Linked DNA regions of Schizosaccharomyces pombe. The protein of the gene in region 1 interacts with the protein of each later gene in a pairwise test. Each region holds a gene or a part of one and is shown in the gene's direction. Other genes may lie near its edges. The genes, in order: ssm4, dlc1 and mug5.

Evidence for each region.
Region 2: the proteins of ssm4 (region 1) and dlc1 interact in binary tests that used the Schizosaccharomyces pombe proteins (3 or more experiments, as listed by UniProt).
Region 3: the proteins of ssm4 (region 1) and mug5 interact in a two-hybrid assay, tested with the Schizosaccharomyces pombe proteins (one study listed by BioGRID).

The regions. Positions count from the first base shown.
Region 1 is NC_003424.3:4,528,273-4,538,736, reverse strand, and holds ssm4 (dynactin microtubule-binding subunit, p150-Glued Ssm4), read left to right. Parts: upstream 1-2,000; 5' UTR 2,001-2,050; coding exon 2,051-4,063; downstream 4,064-10,464. Other genes in the region: RNA polymerase II-associated Paf1 complex subunit Tpr1, read left to right, coding at 1-1,602; thioredoxin family protein But1, read left to right, coding at 4,489-5,220; SPOM_SPAC27D7.11C (But2 family protein ), read left to right, coding at 7,884-9,275. UniProt on the Schizosaccharomyces pombe protein: Binds to nuclear microtubules with the effect of either modifying their structure or function. This then promotes meiotic nuclear division.
Region 2 is NC_003424.3:2,782,868-2,792,887, forward strand, and holds dlc1 (dynein light chain Dlc1), read left to right. Parts: upstream 1-5,154; 5' UTR 5,155-5,202; coding exon 5,203-5,211; intron 5,212-5,260; coding exon 5,261-5,371; intron 5,372-5,431; coding exon 5,432-5,647; 3' UTR 5,648-5,851; downstream 5,852-10,020. Other genes in the region: serine/threonine protein kinase (CK1 family) Cki3, read left to right, coding at 1-67; porphobilinogen synthase Hem2, read right to left, coding at 1,074-2,063; DASH complex subunit Dad2, read right to left, coding at 2,669-2,817, 3,146-3,281; protein Pop6, read left to right, coding at 6,223-6,510; methionyl-tRNA formyltransferase Fmt1, read right to left, coding at 7,332-8,354; SPOM_SPAC1805.10 (uncharacterized protein), read left to right, coding at 8,376-9,959. UniProt on the Schizosaccharomyces pombe protein: Acts as a non-catalytic accessory component of a dynein complex.
Region 3 is NC_003424.3:5,238,733-5,249,141, forward strand, and holds mug5 (protein mug5), read left to right. Parts: upstream 1-4,320; coding exon 4,321-4,878; 3' UTR 4,879-5,382; downstream 5,383-10,409. Other genes in the region: poly(A)-binding protein Nab2, read right to left, coding at 73-315, 362-460, 504-1,085; SPOM_SPAC14C4.07 (transporter), read left to right, coding at 2,060-3,994; cell wall glucan endo-1,3-alpha-glucosidase Agn1, read left to right, coding at 5,475-6,749; SPOM_SPAC14C4.10C (Nudix family hydrolase), read right to left, coding at 7,307-7,878, 7,941-8,358; vtc2 (polyphosphate synthetase), read left to right, coding at 9,024-9,191, 9,399-10,409. UniProt on the Schizosaccharomyces pombe protein: Required for correct meiotic chromosome segregation.

The DNA.
Region 1 (10,464 bases):
GATGCCAATCCTGAATTAAGCTTGCTCTTGGATTACAATCTTGCACGTTGTGAAGAAGAATTGGGTAACACTTCTGTAGCTAGTGAAGCGTATGTTTCGATTCTCGAAAAACATCCATCTTTTATTGATGCCCGTATTCGCAAATGTTTACTTCAGTTATCCAATCCTAACGAGGAAACGTTTAAAGAAATTCGTCATATCATGAACGCAGATTCTCAAAATTTAGAGGTTCGAGCATTTTTTGGTTGGTATTTGAGTAAACAAAAGCGTCGCCCAGTAGAAGATCCTGAAGTTAGACACTGCTCTCAGACCCTTAGACATTGGCACGATGACATTTACTCCCTAGTTCAACTCGGTAATGCCTATATGAGACAGGCAAGAGAGTTTCGTGTACATAATGATCGTGAAAAGTTAAAAAGGCAAAAACTTTACATCAAAGCTATTCAGTCTTATGATCAAGCTATTAAATTTGATCCAAAAAACGCACACGCTGCCCAGGGTATTGCCATTATATTAGCACAAAACAGGCAATTTTCTAAAGCTCTACTTATTTTGAGTAAGGTTCGTGAAGCAATTAAGGATGCTACAACACTCATAAACATTGGCAATTGCCTTGCAGAACTCAAACAGTTCAGTCGTGCTATTGAGGTATTTGAAACCGTGTATTCTAGTACCGGAGAAAGTGATACTTATGGTGTATTGAGCTGTTTAGGCCGAGTTTGGCTACAGCGTGGTCGCGAAAGCAAAAACGTCGACTATTTAAAAGAATCCGTGCGATATGCTACATTAGCTTTAGAAAAAAATCCCGAGAATCCAAGCCTTTTATTTAACGTTGCCTTTGTACAATTCCAGCTATGTGAGCTCATCCGTCAGAAACCCGAGAACAGTAGAACTGTTGAGGATCTGAACTTTGCAATGCAACAGCTTGACGCATCGATTGAAACTTTTACCAAACTGGTGTCTGTCGAACATCCACCCTATTCTCCTACCAGTATTGAACAACGTGCAAAGATGGCTAAAAATACTACTAAGCGTCAATTGGAGCGCGCTATTCAAGCGCAAATCGAATATGAGAAGAGTGTTGCTGCCAAACTTGAAGATGCTAGGATTCAAAGGGAAAAGGAGAAGGCTCGAAGATTGGCAGAGGAAGAAGCTTTACTTAAGGAAAAGCAAGAACGTGAGAGGCAACTTCAGGAAGAGCGACAAAAGATGCAAGAAGAAGTTTTGGAGTGGAGAAAGAGTCAGCAGAAGGCTTCTGAAGATGATATGAGCTTGTCTGATGACGAAGAAAAACAGTCAGGCAAGAAGAAAAAGAAAGATCGAAAAAAGCGTAAATCTAAATCGAAACAGGAATCCTCGGATAGCGGAGTAAGCGAAGATGATGAAATACCATTGAGCGATGCCAGAAATAAAACTAAAAAACGTCGTGTTAATAGAAGAGTCATATCCGAAGAGTATACTTTTGACCAGGATAGTGACGCGGAGGGAAATCAAGAAGAGGAGGTTTCTCGTACTATCGAAGAAAAGCAGGATAACGATATCACAGACAATCAAGATGACAATAAAGAGTTAAATCTATTCTCTGAAGAGGATGAAGAATAATAATTATGCTCATTGCTGTTTGAATTATGCCGTTCAGATAAGAATTTTCTTATTTCAATGGCATATTAACTTTCTCCCTTCAGTTATTTGTTGTCTGTCATATATATGATTTATGATCTCGTGTAATAATATCATTTAAATTAATTTTTTGTATACAAAAGCTCTTGTCATTCATTTACGCTTTTTAGACTAGATTTGTTTTTTTCTATCCACCCTTTCAAAAAGAACTAATAGGTTTATTCACCCAAGAATCGTTTCATTCTACTTAAATAACATTAACATGCGTGTTAAAAGTGATTTGAACATTGGTGATTAACATGCTCAACTGTGCAACATAGTGATGATTTTAGCGCGCCTGTATTGCAAACATTGTTCCCCCCTCCCCACACTAATCTCACAGTTTCTAACCATTTTATCAAGTACTTTCTGAGCCTTTCTTTTTTTTCAAATGAGTTATTTGTCCGTCGGGGATGAAGTCCTCATCCGTGGAGAATTAGGAATAGTTCGATTTGCCGGTAGTACTGATTTTGAAAGTGGTATTTGGTTAGGCGTAGAATTGTTAAATGGAAAAGGAAAAAATGATGGAAGCGTAAAAGGGAAACGATATTTTTCATGTGAGAAAGGAAAAGGGATATTTGTACGCGCATGCTCTTCGAATGTGATGAAAAGACCAAGTGTCGTCAAGTCAAGGAAAAAAGGATCAGAAAACATATCAAATTTTATGGAAAAAACTAAAGCAATTAAACAAAAATCACGTAGGGAGCCCTCAAAATTTGAAAGATCATTGGCACGCCCATTGTGCATTACACCTATTGATTCGTCTACTCCCACAAAGACAGCTACGTTTTATACTTCATCTACAACTGAAAATCTAGATGAGCTAAATTTTTCAACAGAAGAATTATCAAGTTTTGACACTACTTTGTTAAACTCAGATACGAGCAAATTGTCTGGGCTTGACGATAGTAGTTTTATGGAAGAGGAATTTGTATGGCAAGTTGACAACGTTTTGCAGGAATGTGAAAAAAAATTTACTCCTCATTCAAAGGGAAGTTATTTAAAAGAGAATTTAAAGTCAGAATTAAGGAAGGGTCGTTTGGATGAATTGATGTGTGAAAATACCGCCTTAAAAGAAAAAATTGATAAATTAAATAAGGAATTAGAGAAAGTTGAACCTCAGTTGACATTCCTTCGCAGTAAAAACAGTATTGAAAAACCTCGGAATTTTAGGCGTGAAAAGTTTCTCAAAAAATTCTTGGCTATGCAGAAAGAAATAAAGTATCTAAGAAAGCGAAAGTTGCAAATTCGAAAGATTCCTAATTATAAGTACTCTGATCGAAGTTTGAATTCCAAAACTCCTAAAAGCCAGGACAACTGGACTACACAAGTTACACCATCTAGTCTCCTTGGGGTCTCAGAGGTTTCTAAGGTTTTGCAATTAAAACAGGTTCAGGTCGACATAACTGAGCTTGTAAAAATTCCTAAAAACCCGTTTTCTGAGAAATTGACAATATCTAACGTGAATAGATACTTAAATATTGTACCGGGAAGTTTGGATTTACAATTTTCATTAACAAATGAAAATTTTGTACATTGGAATAGCACAGTTTATCAAGAATTATTAAACTTAAAGTCCAACAACTCTTCAGTGGATGGTGTGAAGACAAGAAGGCAACTGTTGGAGGAAAATGCTTTGTTGTCTCATAAAGTATTAAAACTAACAGAAGAAATTCAAGACTTGGAAACTTTGAATCAGCTAAACACTGAAATAGAAGCAAGACAATCGGAAAAGTTAAATGAGGTGCAAGAGGAAACTCAAAGGCTATCTCAGTTACTAATATCTTCTCAACCTGCTTTGACAGAAGTTAAACATTTGAAACTATGCTTATCAGACTCTCAAGAGGAATTATTGCAATTAAATGCAAAACTTGAGAAAGCAAATATTGTAATAGACGAGTTAAACAGTGCAAAATTGAAACTATCAAAACAAGTGGAGGAGGAAAGTAGTATGAAAGACGACCTTACAGAAATGAACCAACGTTTAAAAGAACAAATTGAATCATACGAGAATGAAGTTAACTCTGAAATCACTTCTAGAACATTGAAAGAATTTGAAACATTAAAGACACAGTATGAGAAAAATCTTTGTAATTTAAGAGAACAGCTAAAGACCGCAAGGATGAAACTGGCCGATAAATATCCACAAGGTGACAATACTAGTGAAAATATAGACTGGCTCAAACACAGTTTACGGGATTCTAATACTGAAAACTCAATTCCAAGCCCATTGACCTTTGCCTGCAAGGAGATAAGAAAATTAGTTGCAGATATTAAACCCGTTTCAGTAGAAAAGCAGCTGGCCTTGAATTGGAAAAAAGATATCGAGCGACCCAGTTTTCATCACAATCAACAGCTATTTAATTATTGTCAGTTAACAGACATTCTTTCCAAAAAATGCTAATCTTTTAATGAGATATATAATTCAATTTATTAATAGCCGCCGAAAATTAGCTTCTAATCTTAACTGCCATATTTTAACGAATTTATCATTAATGTACTGTATGGTGTTGCTTTAAGTTTAAGATCGACTTGTAACCTCTTTTGTGACCTGTTATGCATTAACGAAATATGGGGTTGAGTATTTGATTGGTTCATGTTTGTATTAAACTAACGTACTTTTGGCCAATTAGATCGACTTTGAAGATTAATTGTCGACGTGAGAATCATGTAAATAAACAAGTTTACTTACCCTAAACCAACCACTTTAAGAGTGGGAAACTGCTTGTTTCACATTGCACGGTAGCGATATTATTTTTTTTTGTTACCTTTTTTCTATTAAAGCGTATCAAGCGTTTCTTCACCTTCTTGCAGAGAAAGGGTTAGAAAATGGAAATCGACCAAAACCTTTTCCAGTTTCCCATTTCGACTCGTGATGCTGTTCACGAGAAAAATTGTACTTTAAGAGTTAAATCTACAAAAAAAAGAAGAAGCTCTACGAAAGATGAAGAAACGCGTGGTATGCATCCCCATATAAAGAGTTCGTTTAGGAACGGAATGAACCATGCACGTGTCATTAGGGAAGAAGATATGGAAGTAGTATTTGAACCATGTTTCATTAATCTTTCCAAACCCGTTTACGTTGTAAATGGTATCGGTGGAATAAATGAAATTCATAAATTACCTATACTATTCTCTTCATTTGTTCTCTGTTTCTTTGGTAATGTCAGCGGTGATTATGGTTATGTTGACAACGTCCCACTTCACATATCTGTCATTAGTCACTTTTATCCATGTCTGCAATCCTACAACACAGATGTGATTGGTATCACTACTGATACGGTTGAAAATATATGTCAATGGAAAGCCCATCTGCCTCGTGCTCTACAATTTTCATTACCAGTTATTTCGGATTCTAACAATGAAATTTGTAGAGAGATGGGAATGCTGCATCCTCTTGGAGGAGCAAAATTAGCTTTGGATGCAATTGTAATTATAGATTCCATAGGGCGTCGACGCGACATCCTTCCCATTCGTACTACCACTTGTGTATCTACTTTAATAACAGCAGTTCAAGAAACTGTTCGATTTTTGGCAATTGAAAATGGAAGGTTGCTTTAAAAGCCTTCTATGATGATCACTCGTTCAAAAAAAAAATGACAAACAAAAATTTTTTTACGTTTCAGCAAAAGTTGATGATATTGTCACACATAAAACCACAAAACATGGGTTCAATGGAATAGAAAATACTTTCTATAAATACATATATATATATTTAATATTTCACAAAATAAATTACAATGTACCATAAATTATGCTGTCAAAAATTTACGATAAGGTACGGATGGGTATTTATTAAATTTTTCAAAAAAAAAAAAAAAAAAAGTGTAAGGAATAATTTATTAAACTATGATATCTTTAACAAAAAAAATCAATGAACCAATAAATTAAATAAATAAAAAAGTCAACTCTGATTATCAAATTATAAACATCACCGATATCAATTTCAATCAGTCAATAAATAATTTGGCATATTCTTTTTGAAGCATTTACTTTTTCAGAACAAAGCCAAGCTGATAGATTTTAGTTTAAATTCCTCTATTCAAATAAAAATGACAGTGCAGGCTTCTATAGTATTATTTTGTTCAAACAAAAGTAATCAAAATTTGAGTAATAAAAAAAATGCAAAAATTAAAAATAATCAAATATTCTCTCCCTCCGGGATTCGAACCCGGGCTGCAAGCGTGACAGGCTTGTGTACTACCCCTATACTAAAGGAGATCGTTGTAAACTAATCTTTATAATTATATATATTTAAGAAATATAATTATATGATATAATTACAGTTGGTTTATTCTTGTGTAAACCTACCAAAATTAATTTTGGACATTTGAAGCATAAAAATATTGAAACTATTAGTCTTCTAGATGTTGGTTTATAATATTTTTATCGAAATCGTTCAAACAATTTCATGCTAGTGAATTGAGATCTTAGTTGCAAAAGTGTCAGTAAATCAAACTATATCAGGAATTGCTTAATAGAATAACCATGCTTAGTAGATAAATCAATGTAAAGGATAAAATAGCTCTGACGTCAATGCTATAAGCGCGCTTTTTCACGCCCTCGTTTTTTCATCCCAACCGAGCATAACAGAACATATACGGAATAGTGAAGCATACCAGTTCAATTAATAACGAGGTAGTGCGTCTGCTGCAGCGCAGCAGCTTGGGGTTCGCTACTCTAAACTAGATTTCATCGGTATTTGGATAAAGCACAGCCACCTAGCGATTTTGGCTTAATCACAGCATGAATCAACTTCCAAGACAGCAATTGTTAATTTACTATATATAGTCATGTAAAAAGAAAACGAAAGAAAGAAAATACACAATTGTAAGTAAAGAAACACAATCATCATCCTTTGCTACGAGAGACGCGTTTTAAATCAAACGGGAGACAGCTGGTCAAAGGGTTTTCTGTTTAGAGAAACATGAGAAAGCCGTATTATTGAAGGAGGAGCTATTTTTAATTTAGTTTTAAAAATTTCTTTGAACATTTGCTTTCTAAGTTAAATACCAACGGGAGATTCGAATGATACCAGCCTTTGTTTGGATTTCTTTCAAAACAAATTCAGTTTCCTTGTTTTTTGTTCAAGCTCGTTAAATTTACACAGTCATTCACCTTGGATTACCGTATTAACAATAAAGAATCCCTACAAAGTCTTTATTCATATCTATCGTGCGTTGATGCATTTCATTATTGAAAATCAGGATTTTCTAATTTGAAGGTGAAAATGCATCATCAACCCCACCCAATAACACCGATGATCACATGCCGGTGCGCAGCAGATATCCGGAGTTTTCGGAGTCTTGTGCGGAGTCTTTGCGGCCGGTGTCAAGCGTACACGGAATGAAGGAATTTTTCCGAATACTCCGACTATGATGACCGAAAGGTGATTAAATCATCGGTATATGCAATTTACCTTACGAAACATCGTACTAATCCATTAGATAATTAAGAAGCTAAGGAAAAAGTTGTACGGGAAAAAATCCTAGTTGTTAAATTTCTCAATTTCCCTCTGTTCAAATCTGTTTTCCCACACTACTGTGAAAACATTGCGCTAGCTTTCAAAGTTATTCACATGTCGATGAAGCTTACGCAAAAGTACTTGTATGACATCTTGTGCGGTTCGCTAGCCTCTAATAAGCGTTTAAAGTGATCACGTTAAAAAACCGCCTTTAAAATGTAAACGGAACGTGGGTACTGTCTGTATGGTGGAAGTGCGACCAATATTACCTCTGCATCGCCAACAGTCGGACTTTCTTGTATGCGCTGACCATTTATTATGTAAATCATTCACCTCGCCTTAAAAATATATTACTACTCCTCATTTTAATTACCGTGTATGATTCTACATGCAATTTTTGTTTCTGCGCTTTTCCCTACACATGACAAAAGTTTTCATGACTGCGGATCATGAGTTACGTTTTACCGAAGTAAATTCTTGATATTGTCGAACTTAAGTTTGGAAAATTTTTGATATATAAAGAGATGAAAATCCTTTTAATATCGCCAACAAATCTAATTGCATTCATTTGTAATAATCTTCGAAGCCTTACTAAACAAAGTAAATAAGTCTTCATCAATTCCCTTTAATCTCTCATTATAATTATTATTATTATATTAACAAAACCTCCATATCTTTGCGAGGACTTTTTGGTTTATAAAAAACAGTTAATTAATTGGCATCTATTCATTGAAAATCTTGGATTTTTATTACACGCACCATGAAGTTTTCTTCGATTCCCATTGCTTCCACATTACTCTCTTTGCTCGTTGCCTCCAGTGTGACAGCTTCCCCATTGCGTAGACGCGATGACCCTTTGAACGGCAGACAATTTGGTCTTTTGGCTCTTCACTCCGGCAATGAATACGTCCATTTGCACGGATTTTATGTTGGAGATTCTGGTTCTGTTTACTTGGACCCCGCTGATGGCACTGATGACGCTGCCACCTTTACTATGTCTAATGGACAACTATCTGTTGGTAATCGCTATGCTTCCGTGAGCGCCAATGGTGAAATAGTTTTCAAATCTGATACTAATTCTACTTCTTCTGGATTCAGTGTCGGTGAGGCTATTAGTTCCGGATATAGCTTAAAATATAATGGAACTGAATCCGCCGTTGCTTGTCCTTCTCTCGTCAATAACCAGGTTTATCAGGTATTCTTTGGAGTTGGAAACGGTAACCCTAGTTGTGTAGGTATTGCTGTTTTGGCTGTTTTGCCTCAACCCATCTCTTCATCTTCCACTTATAATAGTACTACCTCTTCCTATCATAATTCTACCTCTACTCCACCTCCTACTATCACTTCCACTAAGGCCTCTACCGTTACATCTACCGAAGCCACCACTGTTACGACCACCACAGCTGTCACCGTTACGGCTACTGAAACCTACACAGTAACAGCCACGAACGGAGGCTCCACTATCACTTCCACCGGAGCTTCCACTGTTACATCCACTCAGCCCTCTACCGTTACTTCTACCCAACGTAAAAACACTGCCACTACTACTAAAACTACCACATATGTTGGACCCAGTCCTTCTGCTTCTAGCGTCGTTGCTTATACCACCAAGTGTATTGTTGTCCCTGTTATCACCACTGCCGCTAGCCAAAGTGAAGCTGCAACTCCATCACCTTCTGCTGCTGTATATCCTTTGTTCCCCCATGGCATTCGTTTAATTGATTCGACTAAGCCTGAAGCTAACTCCGGTAATGTTTACTCACCCGTCGTCTTTCAGAAGCAAAACAATCATACCAACACGATTTTCACATTTGATGTTCCTCAAGTTTCCGGTAGTTGCGAACTTAACTTCCATCTCGATACTAGCGGTTTCCCCATCACTGTTGAAGGTGTTAATGGCACTGGCCGATTCATTCTCTTCAACCTCTCCTCCGTTGCCAACGATTCTACTGTCTACTCCAACCGTCCCAACCGCATTGCCGAAATTGGACGTTTCAACTGCTCTAGCTCTGGTTGCGATTATGCTACCAATGTTACATGCCCCGACTCTTATACTGCGGTCTCTTATGAAATGATGGCTCTCACTGATGACTCTTATTTGAGTTTCTTTGAAGAAGCCGATCCTCTTGAGGGATTAACTTTACGAGTTTAAAGTATTATGAACTCCAGCTTGCATTGTTTAGTTTACTTAATTAATATTAAATCTTTAAACCCTTGTCTCTCCATTTTTTTCTTGTGCTTGTTTCCGGCATAGCAGAGTCTAGTATTTGATAGACAGGTTGTATTGTAGGCGAGACTTTAGCGATGCTTGTTTTATGATTGATATAATGCCTTAAAATTAGAAATGCTACAACTCTAATATGTCAGCAACTTTACGCTGTGTTGCAAATCACTAATTTTATATGTTAAAATACTAGTTGAGATCCGCTTATCGATAATAACGGAAGACCTGTTTCTATTACTAAAATACCCGTTTAATTAGATATTAGACAGAACTACTGTAAGTAGAGCTCAAACTTTTCTTGTATGTCAGTTCCGGCATGAGGCAGTTATAAGTAGAGACATAATGTAACAATAATGATAGTATCTGTTACTCGTACATTTTACATATCGCTTGCTATACATGAGTAAATTTCAAAAAAAACTCATCTCTAACCTACCGTTTGCTGCCTTTTTTAAGGATTTGAGAAATGCAGTAAGAGTTTTCTTTGCCGATTCATAATATTACAATAAGCAAATAAATGAGGGAGTAGCTTGCTATATGTATTCTAATATATAAGTTAAATTGTTACCTATCACTAAAATAACTTATAACTGAGCTTCATACTTCAAATTTAGTCATAGTTCTCAGTTCTATTTACAACTTACCTAGTAATTTTGTTAACGATTTTTCAATGCACATAGAATTTTGATAATCTGCAATTACCGGTTCGGGGATCTAATTAATATTTACCATATGTCATTAGTAGTACGTAGTTGTTAGCTACGCAGTTTAGTATTTATTTAACGACACATTGAACTACAGTTAGTTATATATTAGAACATTAGTTAAGATCCGTTTATTAATAATTGTAGCTATTTATTCATCTATCCACATAAATTTCACATTCATAGCTGCTATTAGAAAGATTATAAATAGAGCTACAACTGAATCTCGTTCCTCAGTTTCACTTACTAGCTAGCTATATCTGTGACTGCTTCTAGTAGACTCATTAAAACAATGAATATAACACTGTTATTTAAACATACCGCATACCCCTACATCAAGTTGCAAGAAGCCATATAGGAACACATAACGCAGCTCAGTAAATTGACCGCAATATGGGATAACATAGAGTAGT
Region 2 (10,020 bases), 1.7 Mb from region 1:
GAAAGAGAAATCACGAAAGAAGTTCCATCTTCGCTTACTGTCTTGCTGCATATCGAAACAAGAATAGTCATGATTATTCAACGTCTTTCCTTCTTGTCTTTCACTGTTATGTCGATACTTTTTTTATTTTTTTCCCATTATTAAATATCCGCTTACAATTTGCAACATAATACGTCCATACGATTCCTTCTTTAAATTAATTCTTCCGGAATCGTAATGTGACGTTAATCCCGGCTGCTTAAATTACATTGCTTACTGTTGTTCAAAAAAAAAATGCTCACTAGATGAGATTCTGTGTTTGTTGGCATTCTTTTTGATTTTGAAATTTTTGAACGTGTTGAGGATGAAGATTTTGATTCTAATTAGTACTAATTGTTGTCCTACCTTATATACATAGATTCATATTATTACTCCAATGCATTATGCATCATATGCAATTGAAGAGCGTAGAAGCATGTTCCTTGTCGTTGCATTTTACTTTTGAATCATTTGCAGCTGTCATACTTTTTCATTGTAAGTTATATCGATATATACATAAATAGTCAGAAGCTTCACTGAGCTACCAAATGTTGACTCATAAGGTAAAAGATGTTTGAGAAGAACATGCTCCAATTACTTTGGGTGAAGTATAGTGAATATTTAATTTATCTTATCATGCTAGAAAGTTATAGTCAGTAAACGTGGATAATGTACTTTACTTTATTCTAACTGCCATGAAGTATTGAGACAAATCTATCAAATTATATAAATTAAATATTAAATTTTTAACATGTCCGTTCATCGCTTGCAAAAGGAGTCAATAGGATATCACGATAATTTGGCAACCTACGGTTGTCTAAGATAAAATCTTGTTCTACACACGAATTTAAAGTATTTTAAAAGAAAGAAAAACAATTTCTTTCGTAAATAACTGCTACAGATTATAAACGAAAATTTTTAATAAACAAGAACCGGTAATCGCAGATTCGAAAAACAATTTCATAAGTGAAACTCTAGACCATTAAAGAATATAAACAAAATAATTTTTCAATCATGATAATTTTGAAGATGATTGATTTCGCATTATTTTTTGTTTAATATTCTAGCCATTCCAATAATTCAGGAGTAAAGTAAGTCAAAACTATGTTAGCGCCAGCACGCATAAAGCCATCCATGGTTTCCATCACATGTCTTTTTAATTCAAATACGCCAGCGGCAGCAGCAGCATGAATAATGGCGAATTCGCCTGAAACTTGATAAGTAGCAATAGGAAGGTCATCTGCTAGCTTAGAAGCCATTGCCAAAATATCGAGATAAGGTGTTCCCGGTTTTACCATAATACCATCAGCACCCTCTCTAACATCGCGAAGAATTGCTCTTTTGGCCAAGCCACGTGCATTACAGGGAAGTTGATAACAGCTGCGATCACCAAATTTTGGGGCACCATTAGCAGCAGCTCTGAAAGGACCAAAAAAACCAGAAGCGAACTTTGCAGAATAGGAAATAACGCATACTTTATGAGACAGTTCCAACTCTACAAGTTTCTGCTTAATCGCCTTAACACGACCGTCCATGCAGTCACTAGGAGAAATTATTTGAGCGCCTGCCAAGGCATAATTTCCACTAACTTCAGCAATTCTCTCAACGGATTTAGCATTATTGATAGTGCCATCTTCATATAACAGACCACAGTGGCCGTGATCAGTATACTCGCAGAGACAAACATCACAAGCAACAACCAGCTCCGGAAAAAGGTGACGAATTTCTTTAACGGCTTTAATAACTGGTCCATTTTCGGAATCGGCCATGCTACCACAATAGTCCTTTTTGGACTCGATGACACCAAACAGAATTACACTACGAAGACCTTTTTTGACGAGAGGACCCAAAAACTCTTCCAATCTATTAACACCCCATCTAAATTGATTAGGCATGCTATCAATGGCTTCCTTAGCATCATCTATTTCGGAAATGAAGATAGGATACATTAGAGATGACTTGGTAATGGGACGTACACCTTGCCATTCACGAAGCAACGGGTTTGAATACCCAGCATGCAAAAGAGAACTGATATCAACAGGCATATTAAATACTAACTGACAAAATTTATTTGATTTTTCCTAAAGATGTAAAACTGCGTAAAAAAAGCAGATTTGTGACAAATGGAACTAATGGACCAGCAAAAGCGCCTTTTATTGGTTATTTAAAAAAGTTCTAGCGGAAGATCAACAAGATTTCCTAAGAAATATTTTTAAAAAGGTAAGTGGCAGATGGCGAGAGGTTGGCGAAGGTTAAGATAAATAAGTTTAACTTTTTTTTAAAAAATCGGGCATCGGACCACGATATTTGTTGATTACATAACAATAGTATCACTCCTGAATAAATTGTTTGTCCTTGAAGAAATTAATTGTCGTAAGGGAATGCTGGGAGTATTCAAACAAGCGAAACAGGACGAACGCCAAAAGAAAATGACCAAATGAAAAATTTAGATATCATTTAGTTTACAAGGTGATCTCATTCTCCATTTCATTAGGAAGTGAAGATACTTGGAACTTGGGTTTGCTGTCGGCTTTACCAATTCTGAAATAGAAGAAACAATATGAATAAATGGACAGAACAATAATATTTATTTTAACCAATTCTTGGCCTTTTCTACTTCAGTGAGAAATTAAAAAGAGTATTTAAGTCTTTATACCTCTTCAACATCGCCTTGCTCCGTAGCAGATGCGTTGGTATTTGAAGTAGAAGGAGGAATTCGGACTAAAGCTCCTGAATGTTGGGATGCTATCTGTATTGACTCAAAAATGCTGGGCCAATTATTGAGAACAGTAGCAACAGCTGATTTTGTTAGTGATTTGAGTGTCAAACATTTATTATAATGGATTAAAAAGAGTCGTCAAGCATGTATGAGTAGTAGTGAAAATAGAAAAAATAAATAAATAAACAGATTATATTTTTTACGTTTAGGTGAATTATTGAGAGGTAGAAGTTCATTTAGAGACATGTCGGCAAATGATTGCTTTTATTTGCAATCCTGCAGATCCAATCAATTCACTTGTTTCTTTGCTTTTCTCAATGTAATGATATTTATACTTGTTCACATGAATAGCACTTAAACAGATTGGTGACAAGGCTCTTTTATATACTTTCCTCGTAATGAACATACCTTCACTTCCATCTGTTAAAGTTTCCAATTTAGCAGCAAGCGTTTCTATTTGTTGAACCATATCATTAGAAGAATCTCTTAGTTTGCATATTAGTTCGTATTCCTTTTGCTTTTCCTCAATCCTTGCTTGAAGCATGTTCACGCCAAATGTTTGTAGAAGAAGGTACGAAATTTACTAGATTTATCTCCTACACCATATAAGGCGATTTCGGTTTTGTAATTATACGTTTAAAACAAATAATTTCCGTTTCTGGAATTTTATATCTCGGAATGTATTACTAATAAAGAGGTTGATAATAGAGACTAACAAAAAATATAATGATTGATTTTACTCAATTTTAACCATTTGTTTTCATCTTTAATAAATTAGTTAGTTCATTAATTTAAAGTAATAATGAATTTAGGAAACTATGTTGAATAGTGAATATAATTACTCAAATAATGGGTCAAGTTTAGCTAGCTTATTATATCCATATTTTACTAAGTAAGTATGCATTGCTTCATCCCTCTAAAGTTTTAAAGAGGATCAAAACTGTGCATATTCTCTACTATTTCTTCTTTTATTTTTATTTTTATTTTTTTTTACACAAGGTATAATGGGCTTAAAAGACTTTTAAGATTTGGGTTCGATAGTATATTCTTTTGGTCAACAAGATTGTCAACGTTCCGATACATAAGGAAATGAATTTTTTATTCTAGACAGGATGCAACTTCCACGTATGTTTTCTAAAATTTGAACCGTATTTGACTAATTTAAAAATTCATAAAATGTCTCATCCACTATTGAAGTTTCTTCAATGATCGGTTCCAACGGGTCGTTAAAGAATACCCAACTTTTTTAGAACAAATTATAATAGAGTGGCTATTATCCATTTCTAATTAACAACTTTTTAACATACATCAAACCCTTGTTTACATGGTAATCGAGTATTTTCCTTCGCAAAAATTCACTATTACTCCAAATACTCAGTTACTGAATTGTTCGATCTCACAATTAAATTTCGCGCAGTATGTTATTATATTCTATATACAGTTTTAGAATAACGCACTTTATACATGGTTTTCGGCAATAACGTTTACATTTATATAACAATTAAACAAGTTATAATACCGTTATATCACAGAATGTCCCTGTAAATAAAAGTCAGTAAATAATCTATAGGAAAGAAAAAAAAGGAAAAGGATAAAAGGGTTAGGGGATTGAAAGGATCATTGATTTAAAATCTTTGGGTAGTAGCATCTTTATGTATCGCAGTACCGATGAGATCTTCTCCATTTTTGTAAAATTATTGAAAGAACTAATGGTAGGAATACTAAACATAAATTATCTTGTAGTTTTATTCAATGATCAAATAGTTAAAGATTTGGATGATTTCGCTACATTGATACTTGGATTCTATGAACAGCAAAACAATCGCTTTCCCTTCATGCTGAATTAACATTTCGATAACTAAAAACAGATTCTATACACTTTAAGTTCAGAGAATTTAAATTGTTGTTTTTTCCTTCGGCCCGTCTTCAAAGAAACACACTCAATTCATTACTGAAACTGGACTTGCTAAGAGTATTGTTAAAAGCGTAAAGCACACATTAATGTCTTTTGGTAATCCAAACACCAGTAATTATGTGTAATTATGAGTTTTTTCGATACAATTATTACGGTTAGAGGAAGACATGGTTTCCAAAATCATTATGCATTTCTTTCGAAATCAATTATCGATGTTTCAACCATCAACTGTTTTCAAATTGGTATTAATTAAAGAATGTAAGAAATAGAAATAAACGCTGTTTTCCTTTAAAGCAATACTTGATGCTTTATTTGAATTATCTCATTCATCCCAACGTGAAGTTGACGATTCGCTGTAAGCGAAAAATCCTTACTTAACTTCAGGTTTAAAGCAAAAAGAAATCAACAATAAAAAGAAATGTTAACGTGAGTTATGTTCGCGTTGAACTTTGTATCGATGGGGTTGTCACCGTTAAACGTCGTACTAGCTGTGGGTGTCTTTATCTCACTGCGTACCCTCCTTGTACTCATCAAAATACCCCATTTCGAAATGAGCTGTGTAAGTCGTCAAATACGCGATTCGTTTACTAATTTGATTATGAAAATAGCCTATAGATTCCAAAAAACTTGAAGAAATTTGCCTAGAAGCTGCTCAGCCGGTTTTGAAGGCTTCCGAATATGACGGAGACAAAACAGCTGAAATGAATCAATCTGTTATTGTAAGTTCATTTTATTTTACAAATATCTATGTATGGTAGCTAACTTTATGTCTCATTTAGTATGCCGTATTAAATGCTTTGAATAAGGAAACCCAGTCTTACAAATGGATTGTTAGTTCCACTCTTGTACAAAAGCTTCCCGAAGATCATCCTTCTAGAGGCGTTCACGCAGCTCACGCTGCTTGCTGGAATTGTGAAAAGGATGGAATGACTACTATCAAAGAGAGCGGTGAGGCTATTGACGTAGTATTGAGCATTATGTGGATCTCCATTTAATTACCATATTATCGAAACTGTTCCAATCATGATCATCTTCAAAGACCTCTTTGTTTCATTCCCTCTTTTTATCCCCTGGTACCAGTTTTTGCCTTAGATGCAAATTGCCTTTAACTTTGCAATTTACTAACTTTACTATCTACTCTTCTTTTCTACTTATTCCTATTATATGCAATCTACGATAGTTACGTTTCTTAAAATTCAGACATTTGTGAGCGCTCTGTAACATGTTCGTATTTTATAAGCATTTTGGTGTGTATACGATTCGTGTTCGTCCTTTTTCCAAAGGTTACAAAGGACGTTGAATCGTGTCAGTATTAGCTTGATCGAGCTTTACTTTGCTTGAACTCTCTAAGACTAGCAAGAAACTGAGGTACTTACAATAAAAATAGCGAAAAAGATTTTAAATTTGTTATATCATATACCTTTGCTTTAAGATTAAAATCATACATCTTTTTACAAGGCAGTAAAATGTTGTTTCAACTATGTAATTTATTAATTAATGTTTGGGAGCACCTGTCTAACTACCACGTTATTAGCCTACTAAACGCCATGCAGGCTTTTGCTTATAAACTATGATAATAGAGAAAAGTATAAATGCTAAGCAACTTTCTTTAAAGTTGTGGGATTCTTTTGTCAAAGAAAAACAAGTTTCTTTTGTGGCTGAAGGAGATGCTACTGTAAAACTAGTAAGTCTAGTTGAACTATTAAAACGTCGTTGTAACGAGCAGAAAATTCCCTTTAATCAAACGATTGAATTAATTCCTAGCGAGGAGCAGTCTTCTGACACTTTGATACACGGAAATCGGAGATCACTTCCTCAGTTGAAGATCGACCTACAGATTTTGGAGCATGACAGCTAAATAATACGCAAATTTTTACTCTTTTCAAAGTTACCAAAAATATTCTTCTTTCATTTGTATTCATACTTTATAGACGCTAATTCCCTGAACCAATCGATTGACAATTTACCAGTTTACGAGTTATATTACTGTTACTTTGTGAGTTTTTTGTTATAAATGATAGTACATTAATCGATGAAAACTCGATTTACCTTCTTCAATAATTGATGACCTGCAATGTCCTTTTGCCAATTTGTAGACGTCTAATATTATTTTTTCCATTCACGTCTTTGCGAATGATGCTATGGTAAAAGGGTTGAGTGGAACGAAATTAATTCATAATGCTGTTTTTTTCGCACATGGAATGGTTCAAATTGTGAAAGTTCGCTTTTTGGTCGCTCCAACGCTGCGAACAATAAAGTTTTGGATCTTCAATTGATTTCATCAATTCACTCTTATCCTCTTTTTTTTAGATCGCTGGTTCTAGCTTACACTGTATGATATGAACCGCTCTAGAAATTGGAATGAGATTCAATTGGTGAAAGTGAGGATCAAACTTGTATGGCTACGGAGTTTTTAATGGAGAGACACACCTTTAAGAATCTAAAGGCCCCATACAATAGCGCTAATCTTATTATTAAAAGCACTCTTATGGATTTCTCCGTTTTAGAGATGATACCAACATTATTTTCAAGCTGACGCAAGACTATTTTGAGTATGTATTAGAATTTACATTAGCGCTTTAAAGGATATTGACGTTAGCCAATCGAATAAAAAAGGAAATTAATATTTAAATTAAAGCATTAAGTTATCAATTTTTTATTATTTACCGTTTAAATCATTTACACATATTGGAATCGACCCCCTCGTCCACTATTAAATGTTTTCCCCCATTCGACAGGATCAACTATTTTTCTAGCAGATAGTCGAATTCCTCCTTTTATAACCATTACATGGTCTAATGTCTTCACCAACAGAAGATTTTTCTCCAAGAGGGCAAACTCTCCTGGCTTCATGTGAATCCAATCTTCTGCTGATGTTGAGTGCAACGGATGAACGTCGTACAAAAAAACTTTTTTGTTATTTAAAATGCACCATACGTGATTAAAAGCTCTGCTCATGTTGTATATTTGTTGCGTGTTCATGCTTTCAAAATTAACATGAGCATCTTCAGGTGTAATTTTTTTAGCCCAACTTTCTTGAAATGATGGAAATGTTTCTTTTGAAATTAGTTGTAGGCCTCCTGTATCTGTAATCCGCCCATGTATTTGAGGAGCTACGGTATTTGTTTGGCAATTTGGTAAATAGAGTGATTGTAAAAGGACATGTTCTAACATGCCGGCAGCTCCTAAACTCAAAATCTTTGTCAATAGTGTATATGTTTCTTTCCCATTTAATTTAAGGTACGCTTGAGCTAATGATTTCCCCTTATCGAACTGCTTTGAATCCATTGTTTGGATTGTCACACCGGCCAGACGGTCACCATTTAATATAGTAGAATAAACAGGGCCTGCTCCACGATATTTTGGAAGTAAGGATGGATGTATATTTATCCCCCCATATGGCAGTTGATTCAAAATTTTAAAAGGCACAAACCTTCCAAAGCTAGCCGTAATTGCAAGCTGATCATCAGGTCTCATATGGAAGTTTTTCCATCCATCTTGTAGTTTTATGTATTCCAAACCGTTCGCATTTGCCTCCATTGCTGCAGGTGGGAGGGGTATTTCACCTCTTCTCGATTGTCTCTTTCCTCCTGCACTAACCACGCGCACACGTTGAACACAACCTATTAATTTGCGTAGAATTGGAATTGAAAATTCATCTGTACCTAAAAAAATAACGTTCAATGGGATTTTAGGAGCCATCCTTATAAATTTTGTTGCAGAATGGTGCTAGTGGAACACTTCTGCATTCACCGATGTACGCCCGATGGAGTGATTGAAATGTTATGGATGTACCAGTCCGAGTTGATGGGAAATAAACAACCAATCCTTAATAAAGATGAAATGGCTGCTAACAATCCTGAATTAGAAGCTCTCAAAAATCAAATTGCTTTATTTCATGGGATGTACGGGTTTTCTGTTGAAACTAAAGATATCTTAAAAGAACAGCCGACCGATTCTAAATCCACTACTTCCTCTGCACCTAAAAACTCACCCTTTTCTTTGCTTGAGAGTTATGATTGTCTACAAGTTGATACTGCAACTGTTCAAAAGGTTCTTATCAAGCGACCTGAAGGATGTCGCGAGCTACACTCTTGCAATGTTTTAATGAATAATGACGAAAAAAACACTCTTTCATTAACCCCATCAATATTTCTATCTGTCATGAAGCCGTGTCCAAAAACAAGTGTGCTGGTTACTACGGTTGCTGCTTTGTGGGAACAATTTAATATATTTCACGGTTCATATTTATTCGACGAAATTGAAAAAAAATCTAGCTTTGAGATTATCGACCGCTGGTGGACTTCGGTCCTATCACCTTTGGAATGTGGTGGGTATCTATTGAAATCCCTGAGTGTGCTACCTGTTCTCCATTCGCTGGATGACCCTTTAGTAAAGAAAATGAATGATGTTATACGAAAAGAAGACGGAACCATGGGATCGCTTATACTATTCACTAAATCGGGCCAGCCAAGGTTGCTTTCCCTACAAGGTCTTCGCTTAAAACCAGAATTTCGTAATCTTCTTTCTTACTATTGTTCTCACAATTATCAGCATTTAATAGAAAATGAAAGCGCAGATATCAACATTGCGCATAGACCATTAACGACCTTGTTTTCCGACACAGACAGCAATCTTGCAATAACGAACGAGGTCGGCGAAATGACCTTGAGGATTTTTTGTCTCAAAAAGAAAAGCAATAAAAGGCTACTAGCCATACTGTGGAAACTTGGCCAAACATCTTCAGAGGAAGTTAGCAATGCATTTACCAATTATATTATTGGGCTTGCTCCATTATCCCAATCTGTGTTTGACAGCCAGGCAAGTACGGGGTTCAACTTTAAAATACAAAAACGAGTTGAAACTGAGTTAGACATGTTTTGGTACATTGTAGCCAATTGTACAACTGGCCTTGCCGTAGTTAATACTGATTTTCCTTTGAATGATGCCCACCATTTATGGAACCATCTTGAGAACCTTTGCAATAATCAAAGTTTCAATTCTTGCCAGCTCCAAAAAATTACTCGAGGGTACTGGATATCGCTTCAGCAAAAAGAGTATAATTCCAGGATCTACGTGGATACTGTGGCAGATCAAAGCCAGACATACACGCCAACACGCCGCTTTACTAAACAGGGATCGCAAGGAGATTTTAATGCTATTCACAGTCGAAAGGTCCCTGTTACGCATACCTTTACATACATACTAATAAGCAAAACAAACCGCTGGAATAGCCTTCATGACACAAAAGCAAAGATCCAACGATTCATTGATCAATTTGATCTCACACCTACACTATACGACTAATTACCACAATAGTTTAAATATTTTTGTAATATATTGCAGCAGCCACCATCCAGCTTCATCC
Region 3 (10,409 bases), 710 kb from region 1:
TCCTGGCTTGACTATCAAAAGTAGATATGTGCCAATTATACGAACACGAAATAGTATCATAATTCTCTAAATTTACACAGAAGGAACATGAAGTTGTTCTTCTGACTCGTTAACAGCAAACGAACGTTCACTCAGGGACGTCTCTTCTGTTTTAGAGGGTGGCCGCCATGTCATATTTCTGCTTTTCGTCGGGTGGATAAAACGACAAGCTGGATTCAAACACGGTTTATATTTACAAGGAATTGGAATGGTTGACATGGACATGAAAGGTGGTAATGTAGTAACCGTAGCTGGAGATGGATGTCCCTTGACACACTGTATACGTTAGTAATAGTTAGATTTAAATTATTATGGTACTTACATCAGCAGCTTTGCATTCTTTACCAGAAGCACACATTTCACTGCTCAGGACCATACCTTCTCCTGGGGCTGCGGCTGGTGTCGGATGAGCAAATATACACTAAAGAGTTAGTTTTAACAAATTATCTGATATTAATACATACGTTAGCACGGGAGCACTTATCGGCATATTTGCACAAAGGGACCTCTTGGGTTTGAGTGAGAGCACGCTTGGCAGCAGGCATAACGGATTTCGAGTAGTTAAACGAAGCTGCCATGGGATTGAATCGCTGTTTCTGAGATGTAAGTTTGAGCTTTTGTCCGACACGCCCAGTAGGTAGCTCCTTCTCTTCACGTAACGAAGTTATATTAGGAGTTTGAGAAGATTGAGGTTGTATGCTAGTTTCCGGCACAGAGAAAGATTGCTGCGACTTGTCAGTTGACTCCTTCTCGATAAAATCGATTTCGTCGATCTTGCTGACTGACTCAACTGAAGCATTTTTTGATTTTTCAAGCTCTTCAATTTGATTAAATAACCAAAGTGAGAAGCTAGTATCAAAATCGGACCCTATTAAATCAACTAGTTCTTCATTAATTTCAGTTTGTGTTTTTCCATTGCTAAGCATCACAAGAACAAAATCGGCCAGAGAAGCAGCCTCTTCTCCCCACCCATATTCAGAAAGTTTTTTTTCAATCGAATCATGAAGTTTTTCACTATATCCAGGTGTTTCCAGTAATGTAGTCATGTTGTTGGTTTACAGTCAATAATTAACTAAAATAAGCCAAAATAATAGAGATGCTCAAATTTACAATAAATGTACTCCGAGAATTAGTAAATCAATTCCACTCCTGTTATGGAATCAGAATTTAATAAGTTATGTACCGGTATATGCTCTAAAATGAAATCAAATAGCTCAACTTAGCATGAAATAAAGGAATTGAGAAGAAAGAATACAATCACAAAAATATGTTCACAGACAAGAAGTTGGCAAATTTGCCGTTCCAAAAGAAATAAACTTCCTATAGATGATGCGTTCGGAGAGCTTCAATGGAATACGTAGACTAAAGGTAATTTCTAGTAGCAATAGTTATATTGATACTGCAAGCCGTAAGTTAAAATACAGCAAGAGCCTCAGTTCAAACGTAAGTGGAATATAAGAAATATCTTTCACAGTAAGAACAGAAAGAATTAATAAATAGCATAAAATAGCGAGTTTGCTAATTTTTTTTCGAATATTATACCCAATTTCACTATAAGAACTATTCAACGACTAACGATGACACTATAACGCCACAACGTAACAGCATTAATTAAACTAGTCCAGAATCTAAGCGTCTAATATATATACATCTAAAGGCTTAGCCAACTACAAAGCAATTACATTGCATTGTCATTTTGGAATATAGTTATTTCTTCATAGTAACTAGTAGTTCAAAATTACTTTCTCGAGCAAATATTTTCCTTCGGTTCTCAACCTTCTTAGTAGCACCAACTACCTAAAGTCTTCTAATTATCTCGAAATCGAAAACGTTGTGAAACGTATATATTGCATATAGAAAAATTTTTAGGATATAGGTGCAAGGAATTTTACAATTGATGCTGCAGTTTGAGGGCAACGAGTTAATTGATTATTGCGAACATTTCGAGTAGAAGAGTATTTGGGTTATAATTTACATTCTATTTTATCAGCGTACCCACCATTTTGAGAAGGAGCTACAAATGTCTTCACACGATGATGATCATACTCCATTACTAATTTCCGATCCGTCAGTGAACAAGCCCTTTCGATCCAGAACTCCTTCACCAGAAAGAGAATACTGTTCTGATTGTCCTTTGCAAGCTAAAGGTTCTGCATGCAACGGTAATTCTCATTCATTAAAGCATGAAACCAATGGTGCCAGTTCAAGCAATAATAACGTTGCAAAGTCAAGCTCGCATGACTCATTTAAGGCGAAGCCTAAAAATTACGACTCTACCTCCAATTCTAATGAACCCATCTCTTTCAATGAACCAGATTCATCTAATTCTCATCATAATAATGAATCTATATGTAACAATGATAACTGTTGTCGTGAAATCGCCAGAAGACGTTCTTTATCTCCACTTTTGATTCTTCCATTAAACTTTATTAATGCCTTTTCTTGGGGCATGATTGAAATACCTCTGCTCTTTTTACTTCGACAGGAACTATGTGCCATTCATTATAACCTTGATCCTACACAGTTGTCCCCAGATGACCCAATATGCCGACTAGCGGAAATTACTACTGGTGTTTCAAAAGTCCGTGCCGCTTTTGGCTCTTTAGCCGCCTTTTTAGGTCTTTTTTCCACCGCTTATTATGGAACAATGGGGGATATTTATGGTCGCCGCCTTGTACTTTTCATTACCGTCTCATTTTTGCTGCTTGGTGATTTATGGCTTTTATATCAGTCCTATGCCCCCAAGCATCCATATTTTGTTCTTTTTGCTGCTGCCTTGAAAGGCTTAGGCGGTTATATTTCTACCGTTGTAGCCAGCCAAAATTCCTTTGTTGCAGATTGTTCTAAGACCGAGTTTCGTGCATGGTATTTAGGATTAAATTTTGCTGCTTACCATCTAGGAACCGCTTTGGGACCTAGTTTAAGCGGATTCATTGTGCAATACACTCCTCATATGTATTATGTATTTTATATTACTTCAACTTTTTGGATTATTTATTTACTTTACGTTTGGTTGATACTTCCAGAAAGCCTAGATGTTTCGGAAAGTAAAGAGCAGCAGAATAAAATATCTGGATTTTCCTCGATATGGAGATCATGCCTTGAGCCACTTATAATTCTTTGGCCTCGAAGTTTATGTACAGAGGAATCATGCGAATTCCATCAGTACGATATTAATGCTGATACCCATGCAGGAAGAAGACACTGGGACGTGTTACTTGCAGCAATATTGATATCTTTAACTTTACTCGGCGCTGGTTCAATGGGCTTATTGCCGCTTTATACGGACTATAAATTTGGCTGGGGTCCAATGAAGGCTAGCTTAATATTATCCACCGACTCTTTTGCTAGTTCAATCACATTAGTTGCGCTATTCCCTTTACTTTCTAAAGTTATCGAAAAAATAATCGAAAAGCTTTATTCTTCTGAAGGATTATTTGAAGATCCAAGTCGTGCAGACAATACCTCTTCCCTACAAGGGATTCGAAATGTTTTCTCTTATTTAGTTCGTCCTGGTTATTCACGTTCTAGTATATTGCGTGGTAGAACGGCTGACGAGAAATACACTATAGTTAAACGAGACGTTTGGAATGCACAGTTAGGCTATGCTATTGCTTTGAGTGCAGCGGTATTGTTAGCAGTTGCCAAATCCGATGTTGCACTTTTCACCGCTGTTATTATACAAGCCATCTCAAATATGGTTGTTCCTTGCGTACAATCTATTGCTCTTAATGGAGTCCAGTCCGAATATAATGGTCGAGTATTAGCTGCGTTTGCTGTTTTTGAAGCGGTTGCTTTGATCATTCGAGGCCCAATATATGCATTTGTATATACTGAGTCTATGAAAGTGTCATATCCTAATATGATATTCTTTTTGAGTGCAGTCATTTATGGTTGCTGCTTTATAATTATCTTCTTTATGAGACTTTATCGACCTTTAAATCGCAAACGTTGAAAATTCTTTTGACTCGATCGGAGATGGAAATCATTAAATTACTACTTAGAACTAACAAGTTTTGTGGGTGATTTTAGGATGAAATAACGGGTGGTGTTTGAACCGCTATTTATTCATTTACTAGACTAAGTTCAGACGCCTAATATTTTTCGATACAATTATTTATAAATTTTGAAGCTTAAATATCAACATCAGCGTTCATAATTGTGTATCTACTTTAGGATATTCAGCGTAATTTGTTAATCCTTTATTATACTTTAATTTTAAAAAAAACGCGTTTACGCGTAGTAGAGATAAAAGCCTGTGGCTTCTTCCTAATTCTCTATATGTGCTACCTAAGTAGAATGTCTAGTCAACAAATGCAGCTCACCATATCTGGATTTGAAAACAGAATTAAAATCCTAGAAGATTTAATGAATGAATTTGACAGCAATTTATACATTCGTTTAAAAAGAGAATGTGATTTTAAGCTTCCAAAAGAGTACGACGTGTCAATACATGCTTTAACTATACTGATGAAACGGCATTTATCAAATATGGAACCAATTGATTGTTACCAAGATTTAGATACTGGTACGTTGCAAACGATGTTGATATTTTGCTGCACTCTGCGTATGATTGAACATTACGAGAAAAGTCTATCAAATATAAACTTCTTTTCATTGTCAAATGATCTAAAACGCTTGGAAGAATATAATACCTCTTGTTCTGTACTACTGAGCTTGTATCAAAGACAGTTAAAAAAAATATCAACCACTATCGAGTCATATTACTTAGCAGATACACTTCGGCATAACCAAAATATTTTAAATTTATGTGAAAGGATTTATAATATCCAGAAACTTTTAAACAAGAGAGAGAAGGCTAGTGTTCTTCGTCATTAAAAAAATTTCATCAGACCTAACCTCTACCCCTTGTCTTGAACTGTTAAACTTATATCTGGAATCAAAGAACAGTAGTGCTTAAATACTTCTCACATGTTCAAAATAACAGTCATCTCTTAAATTTATGTTGTTAGACAATGGTTCTTTCGATCTTTATGGGTTTACTTTCTTTTGACAAATGTAAAGTTATGTGAAAAACTAAGGTGATAAGTGGATGGCGCGATTAAATCGCGAGCTTTTTTAACCAATTAATTTTATTTTTACAACTTTGATTATACTTATGAAAAGTTCGCCAGCCATGCTACACTTTTTCGTTCAATCTCCAGCCCATGCCAGCCACTAACACGAAATTCATGAATCCTTTCTTTGTATCGCTCAACCAAGAATATCTTATATAATATAAATATTTCAGGCATGTTTTACCCCGTTGATACTGACTTATCGCTGGTGAAGCGATAACTAATACCTCTTTCATTTATAATTTCTTTGTTTTTCGGCAGACAAAGGATATTGGAAGACAAAGGAAATTCGCACATCTAAAGCATCATTCTTCAAAGTATATATAAACCTTGTTGTATTTTATATATCGGAAAAAAATGAAGCTTGTGCTATTTCTGGTTCTTCTTTTTTCAGCGTTAATTAATTTGACTAACGCTGATAAGATGGTTGTTGCCCATTTTATTGTTGGCAATACTTATCCTTACACTGTTTCTAACTGGGAGGAAGATATCCAGGATGCAATCGCTGTCGGTATAGACGGATTCGCTCTCAATATGGGATCAGACGCGTGGCAGGTTGAGCGAATTGAAGACGCATATGACGCGGCAGCCAGCGTTTCCTCAGACTTCAAGCTTTTTATTTCTTTCGATATGAGTATTATTTCAGCAGATGCTGATTTTATTGAAGGTGTTGTTCGAAGATTTGCTGATAAGCCTAACCAACTGTATTATGATGGTAAAGTGTTTGTTTCTACATTTGCTGGAGAGACAGATACATTCGGTTATTCTGATGTTAGCACGGGCTGGGATTCTGCTGTAAAAGAGCCTTTAGCATCTGCTGGTTATCCTATATATTTTGTCCCAAGCTGGACCTCCTTAGGCCAAGGGGCACTGGAAGAAAGCGTTGCAGATGGGTTTCTCTCTTGGAACGCATGGCCCACAACGGATGCTGATATGAACGACAATGATGACATTGGTTACCAGAATCTTGCCAATTCTTTAGGCAAGTTGTATGTTGCACCAGTCTCGCCTTGGTTTTACACTCATCTTTCTTACAAAAATTGGGCCTATAAAAGCGATTGGTTAATTATTGATCGGTGGAATGAAATGCTATCTGTTCAGCCTGACATGATTGAGGTTTTGACTTGGAACGATTACGGTGAATCACATTATATTGGAAATATTCAAGGCGCCTTGCCGGCTGGTTCGGAAGGATATGTTGATGGGTTTGATCATACCGCATGGCGGTATTTGATGTCTCCATATATATCTGCATACAAGCTTGGTTTGTCAGAACCGTACATTAACTTTGAATCGTTATTTTATTGGTATAGACCGACTCCGAAATCTGCTACAGCGACCGCTGATAGTTTGTCGTATCCCTCCGGTGGTGATTATATGGAAGATGAAATATTTGTGCTTGTTTATCTGTTGCAATCCGCGGAAGTCACCGTAACATGTGGCTCTACAACACAAACATTCAGTGGTGTTCCTGGTGTGAACCAATTCACAATACCCATGGAAACGAATGCATCCCCTTCCTTCACAGTTGCTCGTCAAGGTGGTACCTTAGCCTCTGGAACGGGACCCGAAATTGTTGATTCCTTGTCGATATATAATTTTAATGCCTATACAGGTGTTCTGTACTTTTAGACTTCTAGTTTTGCTTTTTGTTATTTATTATAATCGGTCTGGGAGGATATAACGTACAGCATCTGGAAGGTCTGCTCGATTTCTTCGGTATTGCTTTATCAAAAAGGTTAAGCAATGTTGTAATAGACCCCTTATTTTTACTTTCGGGAACCATTTTTAATTATTTTCATTGTTTCATTTTAATCCATCCGGTCTATATATTTGTTGGTACTTTTATCTTTTTACCATTCATTTGGTTCTGTTGAAAAATTCATTATCGGATTGAAAATGTTCATCAAAATATTCATAACTTTTTCTGCTGGACAGGGTCTCTCGTTTTACTTTACTCCCAAGTTACTGAAATTTTTTACGTTCTATGGTCTGCTGGCAGTTACCTAATATTTTACAGCACTTATAATGTTAATAGATTGTGATTGTTATATATTTGCATATAAATTTCACGTACACTTTAAAAGGATGTATTTTAATAACTGCTCATAATGTAAGCAAAAATTGTTGGTTTAGAAAATGTCATATAAATAAAGAGGACAAATCACATAAACTTAAAAGACTTTAAGTTAAGATTTGTAGTAGGCTGAAATGATTAGAAATAGAAGATAAACCAGGAATAGACGAAATAGAAAGCCAACAAGTAAAGTCAGTTTTAAATAGGGATAATAACCATTAAGACATGTGAATACCCAATTCCCCCGTGGATATACTTGATGCAAGCGAAGCCTATAAAACTGAGTAAAAAAAGATGCTATAAAGCGCAAATCATAATGCTGAAAGTACGGTAGTGACCAACACAAACAATGCCTTGCCGATGAAGGGGAGAGAAAAATGAATAAGTCCACAAATATACTATGTGTGATACCCCGAAGAAAAGGGCGCTGATAGGGAGGAAGCGAGTAGGTAGCTGAGCTCGGATCAAATTCTAAACGTATAGCAGAATACATCAAGTTTCCAACAGCCAAATGAAAGAGAGTCTTTATAAACCTAGGATAAGTCTTTTTAAGTGCTCGTGAAGAATCTATTTGGATCCTAGTCTGGCATTCAGGCAAGAGTAGATCTGCCAATGGGTACCATTGAGCAGAAAATACTTCTGATTCTTGAAGTCTCAACGACGGCATATAGGGAAGAATAAATACTGTGGAAGTATAAAGTTAGAAACCTAAAAAAAACCGTTTGTTAAATAAATATAATACATACCAAAGGAAGATAAAAGAAGTAACGGAAATTGACCCCAATTAGAAGTGATTACACGTTCATCCAAAGCACCAACAAAATGTGCATGCTCTTTTCGTAAATCAATACCAACTTCCTCTAATGTTTCACGGTGTGCAGTTTGAATGTCTGATTTATCAGTCAAAGAGCGTGTGCCTCCTGGCAAGGCCATATGACCAGACCATCGATCGGTGTCTCGAAATGAGCGTTGAATGAGAAGTACATAAGGAACAGAAGTAATGGGAATACATTGAGGCCATTTTGGGTTAGAAAAATCTTGGGATTCTTTAAAAGCTATTATAACAGCTACCGAAGCCCTTCTTGGAGGAGCATTTGGTGTTACTCTCGGACAATATTCAGAAAGTAATTGTAGACCGGTTAATAAGTCCAATTCCAACTCCATATATTGTAAGCTCAATTTCCAAAAGAATTATTTTGTATTCCACTTATAAAGGAGTAAATCTTATTAGTGCTGTTGCTTCAGCTCCTAATAATTAAAGAAAGAAAAAAAAGTAAAAAATGGATAAATAGAAATTTGGATAATAAAATCTATTGTAAGGATTACCTCAACGGAAGTTTACAACAATGTAGTCGGAAGTACAGATGAAGCACCCAGCATCCAATTCTAGATGATGCAAATTCGTCACTGAAGTTAGAATCGGCTTGTATCTATTCAAAAAAAAACTTTTGTTTGAAAGGAATGTAAAGCTATTTCATAGTATATTAAAACGGAAGGCTTATGTACAACACTCAATAATGGAGTGGTCACTTCGTTTTCTTTCCACTTGTTTACTAAAATTATTTGTCAATTGAGTAAGAACAGATAGATAATTGTAAAGTTTTAATTGAGTTGCAATAACATCTTTCATATTGTTGACAAAATAAGAAATACGAATATGTGGACATTGCTTAGCGATGTTTATCATATCGTTATTATAGTAATACGTAATGGAATAACAAAAATCGTTTTAACGAGATCACTTCGCTGCTCTAATTAAAAATTTAAAGGGCGCTGCGAGAAAATACTTTACTACAACACCACATCTTTTTTTTTGGATCAAGAAAGCAATGCGTTTCAGTGACAGTATAGAAGCTGGAATTTATGAACCATGGAGAGATAAATATATGAATTATCCAGAGTTAAAACATTTGCTTAAAACTGAAGAGGAAGCACCCTCATGGGGTGAGAATGATGAGTCTAAGTTTGTTTCTGTTATGGATGCCCAACTGGAAAAGGTAAGTAGCAAGCGAATATGTCTTAAATTTTGTATTACAAGGATTGTAATTAGGAGCTTAAATTAATAAGTAGCCTGAAATTATCACACATTTTATTTTGTTGCTCCTGTAGAATGCTGTTATCTAAAATTCCATGCTTGGTATAAATCCTTGTATTTTAAGAAAAATAAGCTTATCACGCTTAACGTTTGCTAACATTTTCTGTAGGTTTATGCATTTCATCTCGAAATTTTGAAAGAATTAAATGAATCAGTGGATTGGGTAAAATCTAAAGTTTCTGCTTCTCAGGAACCTGATGGTCCTCCCATTTCTAAGGAAGAAGCCATCAAGTTACTAGAACGATTGGATTCTTGTACTGAAACGGTTAAGAAGTTGGAGAAGTACACTCGTCTTAACTTAACAGGTTTCTTTAAAATCGTTAAGAAGCATGATAAGCTTTATCCCGGCTATTCTCTTCGTCCTGTGTTTCAGGTTCGTCTTCGCGCTTGTCCTTTAGGCAGTGTCCAATTTAATCCTCTTTTAGCTGAAATTTTCTCTCTTTATAATACTTTACGTGATGGTCTTTCAGCACCAAGTAACTCCGTGCAAGTGAAACCGAAGCATGAGCACAATGTTGATTACAATTCTAGTATGTATCGTCGTCGTACGTTTCGTTTTTGGGTCCATCCTGATAATGTGATGGAAGTAAAAACATACATTATGAGGCATCTTCCTGTTCTTTATTACTCTGGAAAGCAAGGATTTGACAAAGACCAAAATGGTGTATCTGGAATTTTGGATCCTATATCAACTTGCTTGTATTTAGATAATTCCAACTTTGATTTATATTCTCAAAATTTGGAACGATCAGAACAGGCTTATTCTTTGCGACTTCATTGGTATGGAAAGTTAACTCCCAAAACCGATATTATCGTTGAACGAATGGTACGTCAAGGAAGTACTCTTTCACATAGTGAAGACCGGTTCACTATCCGCGAGAAGAAGGTTAGAGAGCTTCTAAGTGGGAGATATGATTTTAGGAAGGTTGAGGATGATCACTCGACAACTGCTTCTGATCAGAAGAAGAAACTAATTGAAGATGTTGAACAGCTAATCGTTGACAATCACTTGCAGCCTGTTCTCCGTTCTGTTTACACTCGTACCGCATTTCAGATTCCAGGCGATGATGAGGTTCGTATCAATCTTGACTCAGACTGGGTTATGATTCGTGAAGACTCT